2 linked regions of the Caenorhabditis elegans genome follow. The protein of the gene in region 1 purifies or fractionates together with the protein of each later gene. This does not show direct contact. Each region holds a gene or a part of one and is shown in the gene's direction. Other genes may lie near its edges. The genes, in order: gcy-9 and fbxb-78.

Region 1 (8,078 bases):
GAAAGCCATATCTGGAAAGTTAGATATGGAAAAAATTTAAAAAAAAAAGGATTTCGATAGAAAAGAACGACAAAAGTGCATTGTAATGAAAAAGAGAATGCGAGGAAAACTAATGGAGGCGTGCCGAATCGGTGTAGTCGACCTGTCCGTTTTTGTGTGTGTCTGAGCGCGCTTAGTGTGTGTGGCTGTATTGAATGTGAGAGCGTTTTGTGTATGTTGTGTATGTGTGTGTGTGTGCCAAGGTCGGTCGAAGATAGTCATCTTTCATATCAGCTAGGACGAAATTGCGTCGTTGTCCAGTGTTTCTAGAAGGCTAATGTCGAGAAAAAAGGCGGCGAGAAAAAACGATACCATCTCAGAACTCAAGAAACAGTCAAAAAAGGTAAATGTGCACAGTGAAATAGTGTGCGGTGGGAAGAGAAGAAGAGGGCCGATCTGCATACACGTTGCGTACTTGACCCAAGAGGTTACGACAATGTTGCAGTGTGGTTTTTTTGAGAATTGAAACAATGCGCTCTCAGACATATTGAGAGATAAAAAGAAAATTCAGAGATTTGTGTCCGATATTTTTTATCTTTTGTTATCATTGATATCAGATCATTTAAAAAAGATTATCAAGTGGGAGAACTTTGCACAGATTGATGGTGAGGTGGAAATTCCTTTGGGAAACTGAAGAGCAAAAATTCGTTTTATTTTTCAAAAAAAAAAACATTTGAAAAAATGCAATCGAATCCATGCTATAACTAAACTAATACACTAGAATCTAGAATCACTAGAATCTGTAGTTCACAAAATTCATAGAGTACGGAATTTCTGTTAGCGTGACTAAAATTTACTAAGTTAAAAAAACAGAAGATGTTTGAGCACAAGCTGGTTGGTTTTTTGATTGATATTTTTGTTTCATATGTCTCTGTTCTTCATGATAATTTACTATATATAATATAAAGCGCTTATTCTGTGTGTCCATAGTTTGTAGTCTATGTAGTCTTTGTAGTCTGTGAAGTTTTGACTTCTGGAGGGATAGTGAGTTGGGGTTAGTGTAGGGATATAGTCGGGGTACTGTAGTGGTACAATAGTGGTACGGTAGGAATACTGTAGGGTTACGGTAGTTTCATAAAAATTGATTTTCAGCCCTAGAAGTCGGGGGCCGCGCCGAAGGTGCGGACCACGGCTGGTTCATAATATTACAATTACCGTTTTTCATAGTTTACCGCGTATCATTGTATAACCATGTTTTATTCAGAAAGACTTTGCATATATATTTTTATTTGATCCCAAGTTGAGATTCATAGAAACGTATTTTATTAAAATTGGTCTCACAATCATTCCCCGTATTACCTCTAGTAGCCTTTTAAGTTGTAAAAAGCAAGACAAGTGCTAACATGTGTAAACGTTTTGAACAAGTCTAGGTTTATTTTTTCAGGAATTGAAGAATTATCTGAAAATTCTACAAGGTACGCCTTGTCTTGTCCCGAATTATTGAAATACTGATTGAAGTTCTAATATTAGGATGACTCTTAGAAATGCAAGAAAATTACACACTGTATAACTAATAGGGAGTACACTTGGTAAATGAATAACACTGTTAAAAATTCTGAAAACTACCAAAAAAAAAACTCGGCTTGTTTTTTTAAAAGTATTTTCGTGTGTTTCGATGATGTTGCATTAGACAGTGTCATAGTTCTACGCTGAGATCCTATTAATGTATTCACAACAACCTAGTCATCAGTGTACATCAGAAAAACGTAGGATTCGACGCTTGTTGTGACACACACTTGCCTTCTTTCCATTAAACCCCATCTATCCACTTCCGATGGGCCCTTCCGGCATGATAAGAAGTGAGTGGCTACATAAGACTTCACACCTCCTTCGGAGATTCATCAATCCAACTACTCCGAATTTTTTACATTTTACTTCTACATATATTGGAATTCGTTCCATCAACACATTCCTGTAAAAAATATATAAGAATTGTTACTGTTTGCGGGATAAATGCCCCTCATATGAGATGATAAATGCGTTTATATTTATTTTTCATTTCTTCTTTGCTACTTGCGGAGTCAAGAAGATCTATCAGTAAAATCAGTCATGACGAAATCAATCAACATGTGAAAACTACACTTAGTTGTGAGCAATCTTTTTCATAAAATACATATAAAACAATTATTGTTTTGTTTCAGCAGAAGGGATTGTTCGAATAGGTCACCTTCACCCCACGAACCCTATTATAGCACACGAACCAGATGTTCTAAAAATGTGCGCAGACGATTTGAAAATGAGAAATATTCTTCCACAAAATTATACTTTAACGTAAGAAGTTTGAATTTAAAAAAAACAAGTCTTTCCAATTTTAGTGTTTTTACAATGGAAAGTTGCAACAAGTATTCGGGAGTTGAACATGCTGCTTTCCTTCATTATTTGAAAAATGCTTCAGTGTATTTTGGACCCGGTTGTAATAATGGTAATGCTTTTGAGAATGTTCAAGTTATTTAGTAATTCTTTTTTCTCAGAAATGTTGGTTATTGGAAGACTCGCGCCTAGGTGGAACGTTCCAATAATTGCTCATATGTCTGGAGATGACGCTCTTTCTGATCGTGTCCAATTTCCCACACTCGGTTCAGTTGCACTGACATCTGCAAGTGAAATGGCAAAGGCGACTGTAACATATTTAAATCTGAACAATTGGGACCAGGTAGGACGTTTGACAATAAACAATTACTTGTTTGCTCCAATATTCCATATTTTCATTGCTTGACTTAAGTACTCATCAGGATTCTAATAGGTTTTTCATTAGCAATAATGTAGTTTTTTGAAACTTATCATAATTAAACTGTCTATTTCATTTTATTACAGTAAATATTCTCCTGTGAAACGATTCCTGGGGAATATTTCAAAAATATTAACTGACCACTGTCTTCTTTTAATTGTCCGCAGTTCTGAGTTTTTTACATTGTATATTGCAAATTGCGGTGGATGAAACGTGATTGTTTCTATAAATAAAAAACAAACGATGGGAATCCGTTCAAAATCAAATTAAAATATGTTTTTCGACCTTTATGTTTTTTATTTTGACTTTTGGACATGAGTCATTTTATCAATACTTTTTAAATGATCAAAAACGAAAGATTTAAGTCGATTATTTTTATGTTTGACGGAGCATGATTTCGTGCCTAAATTCCCCCCACAAGTGACTAAATACCGGATGTAGTCATTGGCCGTCCAACAAAATATATTAATATATATTTGTATATAAGCAGATACGACGCATCAGATCTGCCCGGAGCAATCGGTGGGGACTCCAAAATGGATTGGAGGATTATAGACTAATCCGTTATTAGTCGCCTTTTTTATAGACACCTCCGCCTTCTATTCCCCGGATGTAGCAATATGCAGTTCTAGAATTACGACAGATAACGTTTTCAGATTGGAATTGTACGACCAAGTGTCGGGTACGAGCGGCTTTCTGTATACTCTTTGCAACATCAAATCAAAAAAAGAGACATCAATCTTAATGTCATCCTGGATATTGAGCCGTTCAGTTCTCCAGAAGAAATTATTTCCACCGGAAAGCTAACAACACTTAAAAGCATGGCAAGAAGTAAGTTTTTTTAACCGTTTGTTGATGTTCTCGTCATAAAATTTTTTCCAGTAATCGTGGTAGAGCTTGGAATGGATATTCACTCAGTCACAAACTTTATGTTGGCAATACACAGATCTGAAATCAAAAATGAGGAGTTTGTGTTTGTAATCCCTTGGTTAGCTCATGTAAGTTTATAAAAATACCACAAAACCCGGAACAACACCAGACATCCTTCAGCAAAACGATCATTATCCTTGGGAAGCGGCTAACGTGGACAAACAAGAAGTGAAACTTGCTTTTGAGAACACAATCATTATCACTGCTCATGGTTACGATAAAAAGTTTTTTGATGATTTCCAGATGAAATTCAGTGCTGTCACAGGAGTCCTTGCAAATCATGTATTTTTCTTTCTTTTTTTCTTAATGTAGAGATCAGAATTACAGTATGCGACATTATCATATATGTCTCTTTATGATGCTTTATTTCTTTATGGATTGGCCCTTCGAGATGCATTTGAAGATGGTGGGGGTTACAATGTTCACATGAATGGATCGTTAATATGGTCAAGAATGACGAATCGGCAGTTTATTGGTTAGTCGAGTTTAATCATTTGGTTTTATAATGCTTGTATTAACAGGTATGACTGGTCAAGTTTTAATGAACAATAAGGCAATTCGAGTACCTTCATATGCTACTTATCACGCTATCAATGGAACTCTCAAAGTACTTAGTTCTGTCAATAATATTTAACTATTACTGAACATTTTTAGATTGTTGTGGAACTTGAGGCTAAAAATAATGATCGTGGACAATGTGAAAAAAATGAGGAAATGTGCTCCGAGCATGTAAAGCATACGGACTACTGAAATAAAATGAAATAATCATGTTTAGGTTGCACACGAAACAATACAATATTATTGGCCATCCGATAGTGGAAAGCTACCGCCGGCAGTGCCGAAATGTGGATTTACGGGCGCAGAATGTGATTACAGACCGTATTTCATTGGAGCTAGTTTACTTGCCTTCATTTTAACTGTCGGACCACTGTCTTACTTTATTTATTTGAAACAGTAAGTAAAATTTAACATCAGAATTTAATATGATTTGCAAATCTTCAGAAAGGAACGATTACTGTATGATATGACATGGCGAATACCCAGAGAGTCGATTAAAATGCTAGAAGGAAAATCGGTATATTTGATTTTAATTTTAAGTGTATCCTTAATTTTCTATTATAGAAATCCGAACACTCTCTGGCTAGTAAATCACAAAGTTCTGGCTCTTTCTCGGGAAGTATGAATTCAAAACAAAACGGACTGATAGCTGCCAAACAAGCGGTGTCTAACGGTGTAAAACTTGCGATTAAGGTATATATTCTCATATACCATTCAGTGATATTATTTTTCACTTCAGCGCTATCAACAAGTACGCAATATTACTTTCCCAAAATCAGAACTTAGACTGTTGAAGGAACTGAAGATTTGTGAAAATGACAATCTAAATAAGTTTTATGGAATATCGTTCAATCAGCAAAATGAGTTTATTGTCATGTGGGTTCTGTGTTCTCGTGGAAGTTTAGAAGACATTCTTTTTAACGACGAATTGAAGCTAGGAAGGAATTTTCAAGTGTCGTTTGCCAAGGATGTTGTCAAGGTGTTGCTTGCCTTTGTTTTCAAATAACGTCTTTTGAAATCTTTCAGGGACTCAATTTTTTGCATACATCTCCACTTTTGCACCATGGCATGCTTTGTTTACAAAACTGCCTTGTTGACTCAAATTGGACCGTGAAGCTTACTAATTTTGCTACTGAGGCTGTTATTTTTGAAAAGCTGGATCATAATGAGCTGCGCCCTTTTATCAATACAGATAGCGAATCAGCAGATGATGTGTCTGATCCTACAAAGGATTTTGCAAGAAAAAGTTTGCAAGAATTTAGTTTGCACTAATCTAAAATTACATTCAGAATATCTTCAACAAGCCCCAGAAATAATCCGTGAAATCGTGACAACTAAGACTATTCCCGAAGGATCTCAAAGTGCAGATATATATGCACTCGGAATGGTACTTTATCAGATACTTTTCCGTGTAGAACCATTCCATGAAAGAAACAAAAGCATTAATAGTAAGTAAAACAATTGTTCAAATGAAATACTGCAATTTCAGAACTGATGGAGACTTTGGCAATGGCAAATGATGATGATCAATTGATTCGACCAACTTTCCCATCATCCAATACTGGTGAAGGTTATAATTTGCAGGTTATTATTGAAATTGCTTTTTCTTAAATCGTGAAAATAATTTCAGTTACTTTCGTGTATTGAAGCTTGTTGGCTGGAAATTCCTGAAATGAGACCACCGATTAAGAAAGTTCGGACGATGGTCAATGCTAACTTGAAATCAACGTAAGTTTTAATAAGTTTTTGATCTAAGTGTTGATTTTTGTTTGCAGAGGAAAAGGTTCTCTAGTAGATCAAATGATGAAAATGATGGAAGAATATACGGCAAATTTGGAAAACATGGTTCGAGATCGTACTGCACTCCTGGAAGAAGCTCAAAAACAAGCAGATCGTCTTCTCAACAGTATGCTTCCAAAGTATGATACCACTTTTTTTTCATAATTTGTGTATTGCACCGACTACTGATATTCTCTGATACTCCGCATGCTGAGCACGGACTATGCATATTGCCGCCTACAGAAGCATAGATTTCCACAAACCATTCGAGGTGTTTGTGCAAATCTTTCGCGACTGTAGGCGGCGAACATGCAGTTTTTTCGCACTTGGTCTGTCCTTACTGTATTGTATGTATATATTTTCAAAAATCTTTTGAAACGTTGGAACATACTTTTAGATCAATTGCGGAAGATCTTAAAATTGGAAAGCCAGTGCTTCCGCAACTATATAGTTGTGCGACTGTTTTGTTTTCGGATATTCGTGGATTCACCAGAATTTCTTCAACATCTACACCACTTCAGGTTTGCAAGCTCAGACAAAAGATTATAGTAATTCTTCATAAAAATTCAATAAATTTTAACTTGTACCTAGACAACATTTATAATGATTTATTTTAGAATTTAAACATTTACATGGATTCAGGATCCCTTTCTAACACAATTTTTTTTAGGTTGTAACGTTTCTAAATGACATGTTCAGTGGATTCGATGCTATTATTGCAAAACACGATGCATACAAAGTCGAAACAATTGGTGACGCTTACATGATTGTATCAGGAGTTCCCACAGAGAATGGAAATAGCCACGCTCAAAATATTGCTGATGTCGCTTTGAAAATGAGAGCGGTAAATTAAACATTTGCCACCTTGCAAAGATTACCATAACATTTCAGTTTATCTGTAACTTCAAACTTGCTCACCGCCCTGAAGAGCTCATGATGGTGAGGATTGGCTTTCATAGTGGTCCAGTTGCCGCTGGAGTTGTTGGTCTTGCCGCTCCACGTTACTGCCTTTTCGGGGACACTGTTAACACTGCATCTAGAATGGAAAGCACCGGAGTGGCTAATAAAATTCAGGTTGGAATTAATATTAGTCACTAATGTTTGTTGAATTTATAGATATCCGAGGGAGCATACAACCTTCTTCATTGCTTCTTTCCTCAATTCCAAATGGTTGAGAGAGGAAAAATTGAAGTAAAAGTAAGCGAAAAATCAGAAAAAAAAGCAACAATTATTTATAACTACAGGGAAAAGGAGAGTGTCTGACATATTACCTTGAAGGAAGAACCGGCAAACAATGAGATTGATTTGGATTCAAAGATTTCATTTCGGATAAACCAATATTTTTCAAATTCTATGAGCTCAAGAATTACCGAATATATAGAACATTTATCAAATTCATTAATTATTTATCTTTAGATTCTAGCCATTTCACATTCTACACTTACCAAACCCAAAATTATTTTCTTGGTCAATTTTCTGATAGATTCATTTTTTGCATTACTCTAAATTTGCTATACTTTAGATATGAAATGTGTTTCCAATTTGGTTCACTCTATTATGTATCTCATTTTGCAAATTCTCGGAGTACATTTGAAACAATTTTATATAGCGTCCCATTTTTACAACATTCAGAAATATAGCTCACATTTTTGAAATCAGTAAAATTAAAGCAGAATGTTCCCGAATTTTATTTATTCTGAAAGCAAAAAGGAAAGCTATAAATAAACATTTTTCAGTTGCAACGTTAAAACGCGGCAAGCAGGAAATAATCGAATAAATTAGAAGAAACACACAAAGAGCATCGTATCACAGACCTGAAAAATGATTTTTTAAGAGGAAAATTTGAGCAATATTTAAAAAAACTTGGCGTTATCAAAACTCGATTGTTTAAAAATTGACTACTATACTTGCGGCCAAACTCACTCAGTAATTCTGTTTCCCGTGAAAAAAAAACAATCAAACAAGTTGCCTGTGTTCATAAATTATAGCTTCGGGTTGATTTGCTTCTCCCTATCTGCAATTAGTTGTAGAAGAGTTGTTTGCG
Region 2 (4,042 bases), on another chromosome or scaffold:
TTGATATCCAATTCTCGTTATCTGTCGATAAGCGAAGACATGAATTCAAAGAAGGTCAACCTATTTTTGAAACATTGGATTCACGGATCCAACAAGAGAATGGAATATTTTGATGTGTGTTTCCGAGTTGTTAGGTTTAATGATGATGTTCTCAAAGTTCTCTTCAAGAACCTGGATTACTGTATTGCACCTGTGGAAAGAGAATTATTGGTTCAACCACCTGGAGAAAAGGAACAAATTGTCAAAGGAGGATATGATGTGAGACGAATGGATGGAACAGTAGCAACTATTATTGTAGATCACATTCAATCACTGTTGAAAATGTTTGTGCGCGGTTAACTTGTTATTTGTATAATTTTGCTTGTATTTGTTAAATTTGGAGTACTTTAGTAAATAAAGAATATATAATAACAATAATCATAATTTATTATGTTCTTGAAGAAGCGTGAAAAGAAAAGAAAGTTGATACATACATACAAAGTTTCGTGGTCAGAGGGTAGACTGGGAGATTGTGGGCATAGTCAGAGAGCATAAGAAAGAATTGGATCAAAGAACAGGATAAATAATAGATCGTAGGGATTGAATTTTAATGATCAAGAGTAGATGTCGCTCATTTCCTAGCATAGTTATCCTTGTTTAATTTGGATACAAATTTTTTTGAATGATGGTTGACTTAACGTTTCCTAATTTTAGATTTACATCTGCTCCAAGAGAACTTATTTTTATAATGCGTTCTAGTGTTGTCCGAGAATGTAAAAAATACAGGTACTTTCAGATATATTTTACCGTTTAACATTTTCAAAATAATTTTTTTATCGGTGTTCAGGCGTCGTTCTTGCAGCGTTGTGATAACAAATAATTCATTTCTTTCGGTCGAGGCTTTATATTCCGAAACACTTATTGTACAAATACGCGTATATTACTTGATAATCATTTCTGTGTTTTGAAAAGTGAATAAAATGTGTCCCAGAGGAACATGGTTAAATACAATTTTAGTTCGACCCCTTTTCTCGATTTTAATCAATACATTTCTGTGATAGCATTGAGAAGGAGAACACCAATATTTCAATCTGCTATAGAGTTTCGAGTCGGTACAAATATTTTCTAAGATGTGTACAACATTTGGAAGCGGGTGTTCCCTGAATTTTTGTAAAAAAAATTAGAGACTCTGTAGTTTTTTATATCAAACAGTTTCCCTCCCAACCCCGATTGAAACCATCACAGTGACTTTGGTATTTTCCTTTCTCAGAAAATCGATTCTCAAGTATTCTCAAGATTCTCAAGCAGTATGTTGTTGTATTTTTATTGACATCAATTGATTACATGGTATGGGGTAATTGGTTTTTTGAGGGATTCCAGCATACAAAACATGACAGATGTGTTAGCTAATAGAGAGGATTATGAGCCATGAGACCTAGAGACAAGAAAATGTTGGGCTAATATTGACTAGTCCTCATTTGAATAGCAGCAGATATCCCTTTTTCAATTATACATGCATATTTTCAATTGAAATTTCAACAAAAAATCATTTAAAACATTAAAAATTGTGTTTTGACGTTGATAAAATATTTGTATGAATTTTCAGACAATTTTTCATAACTAAATCAATATTGTCAGACTAACGATCAAATTGTACCTAATAGAAAAGTTGTCGAAATTGAACTTCAACTACTAACAGTTTTTGATATGTTCCATGAAACAAAAGTTCGAAATTTTTCAAAATATTTCTCAAAACTTTGAACAGACGTAATAATTGTTGAATTTTTAGAGAAGTTTAATTAAGTTTTTTCGGCATTTTACATGATTCAATCACTTGCATTTGTTTTGATAATTCTCTTGAGAATGAGTTGCTACTCATAATTATTGATAACTGAGTTGTACGAGAAAACTTTTTTAATGCATTCTGAAGTAGGAATCTAATCAGATCTAGTGCATACATGGAGAAAGACTGTTAAACTGTTCTAACATGTGCGTGTCTCTGCACGCTTTAGACAAAGAAAAATATGTATAATATCTCTAAGATGAGAATTAGAGAATTGGGGAAGGGGGGTCAACTGGACAGGACCACCCAATCTCTCCATCTGCTCATTCTTCATTTGTGGCCATGGTCGACGACGTATCTGTTCCTTTCCAACTGCTCAAATTACCTCAAAAATCGAGTAACTACGTGTTTCACAGAATGCTTGTAGCAGATTTGTAAGTAAAACATATTTTTTCCAATGTTAACTCAAATTATTTTTGATCAAATATCACTCAATCACATCTCAATCAATCACACAAAATATCACAAAAAATACCACTAGTGGAATTTTATTAGATAATTATTGATTTCCTATCACTCAACCTGAACAATGTTTTTTTACAGAATAGGATTCTCACTCACATCTAAAAATGCAAAGCTACAAACAAAACGCCTAGGTCTGAAAGCCGAGGATGTCCATCTTGAAATACGTTCTGGCATAATAATTCATATTTCCCTTCAACATACTTTCACGTATTTTAAATTCTACACTAACGAATACCGAACCTCAGAGCATCGTCTTGAAGAAGAGTGCATTAATATGTATCTCTGTACTCGATTGGGTGAATGGAAGACACCTATATTTCGAGTGAGACAGTTTTTGGATCACGTTCTTGATATATTTCATGTAACAAACATTAGTGAACTAGAGATTACAACCGATCATTTTGAAACTACAATCTATGATAGTTTTGATAAACTGGAAATAGAATCTTTCTCCATGTATCATATCGATCTGAATAGATTGTCACTTCAGTATGCATTGAAAAAGTTTTCTCGTAAAGCTAATCAGTTATCAATTTTAATGAGTCGCAACCCATTCACAGCAGAAACATCTAAACAATTGCAAGTGGTTTTAACACGTAACATGGACCATATTGTTCTATATCACCCTATCAAATATGATCTGAACGATTTATTCGTTACTAATACTTATTCACTCATGGTTGACATGAAAATTGAAGATGTTAATATGTTCTTAAAACACTGGATTCACGGACTCGACAGAAAGTTAGAACTAGCTTGCTTTGGCTACAAAGAACTCCAATTGAAAAATGAAGCAGTTGTTGAAATACTCTTCAAAAATGTGGATTATCAAGTTGCACCAGCGGAAAGAGAATTGACAATTCATCCTACCGGATCCCAGCAGATATGTGTCAAAGGTGGTTATGATGTTAGACGAGTCGATGGAACAGAGGAAAATATTACTGTCAATAGTCAGCGAAGTTTGATTGATATGGTATTTTGGAGTTAAATTATCATTCGGTTTTTAATTAATACTAAATATGTATACTTGATTAATTATTTTAATAATTGTATTTAATACTTTAATATATATGCATATGCATTTTCAAACTGACAATGAATAAATATATTAAATTTCTACTTTAAAGTGTTCAATTTTAAGAATGTCTGACTAAAATTCCGGGTTCACTTTTTGAATCAGTTCATTTTTTCTGCTATTGCGCCACAAACGTTCAAAGGAATATTCTCTATCCACTTGAATTTATCAAGATTATGAAAATTTACACTTCTTGGGCGGAAAAAAGTTTTGACGCACATAATACGGAAACGCCGAAAAATTCCCCTATTAAACACGAACGCCGTGATCCACGGCCAATTGAAAACGTCCCGCCTTTCAACTTGTTAGGTATTGGCGGGTAAACTAGGAATTCAAACGCTTTCATTTTTCTGAACGGTTTCAATCGTTAAAACTGATAACATAAAATTGATAATAAAATTTAAAAAGCAGTAGAATTCCCTTTTTCAATATCACATGCATTTTTTTTAAACAAAATAATCATTTAAAACAATTTTCAAAAAAGTCGAAAACCGCCTGTATATTTGGTTTTACCGCTAAATACCTAACGAGACCCAACGGTTGGGGTAGTCGTTTTATTTGGAGCGCGATTGCGCCTCAATTTCAAAGAGATCAGTTTTGTGCGTCCCCAATAGAACACTTGTAATTGTAACTTCACATATTGTTCTTCTGAAAAAAAGAAGCTTAATAGTACCATATAA

What was found.
Region 2: the proteins of gcy-9 (region 1) and fbxb-78 fractionate together in Caenorhabditis elegans (co-fractionation; one large-scale study listed by BioGRID). This does not show direct contact.

What each region holds. Positions count from the first base shown.
Region 1 is NC_003284.9:11,331,807-11,339,884, reverse strand, and holds gcy-9 (Receptor-type guanylate cyclase gcy-9), read left to right. Parts: upstream 1-2,001; 5' UTR 2,002-2,015; coding exon 2,016-2,127; intron 2,128-2,180; coding exon 2,181-2,310; intron 2,311-2,354; coding exon 2,355-2,461; intron 2,462-2,510; coding exon 2,511-2,692; intron 2,693-3,423; coding exon 3,424-3,598; intron 3,599-3,649; coding exon 3,650-3,765; intron 3,766-3,817; coding exon 3,818-3,979; intron 3,980-4,024; coding exon 4,025-4,172; intron 4,173-4,218; coding exon 4,219-4,304; intron 4,305-4,351; coding exon 4,352-4,426; intron 4,427-4,472; coding exon 4,473-4,651; intron 4,652-4,699; coding exon 4,700-4,772; intron 4,773-4,819; coding exon 4,820-4,948; intron 4,949-4,994; coding exon 4,995-5,234; intron 5,235-5,281; coding exon 5,282-5,501; intron 5,502-5,544; coding exon 5,545-5,703; intron 5,704-5,744; coding exon 5,745-5,839; intron 5,840-5,885; coding exon 5,886-5,983; intron 5,984-6,030; coding exon 6,031-6,174; intron 6,175-6,254; and 13 more. Other genes in the region: aco-1 (Cytoplasmic aconitate hydratase), read right to left, coding at 1-9; Galanin-like G-protein coupled receptor npr-9, read right to left, coding at 8,010-8,048.
Region 2 is NC_003282.8:4,735,460-4,739,501, forward strand, and holds fbxb-78 (F-box associated domain-containing protein), read left to right. Parts: upstream 1-2,098; 5' UTR 2,099-2,104; coding exon 2,105-2,196; intron 2,197-2,365; coding exon 2,366-3,275; 3' UTR 3,276-3,403; downstream 3,404-4,042.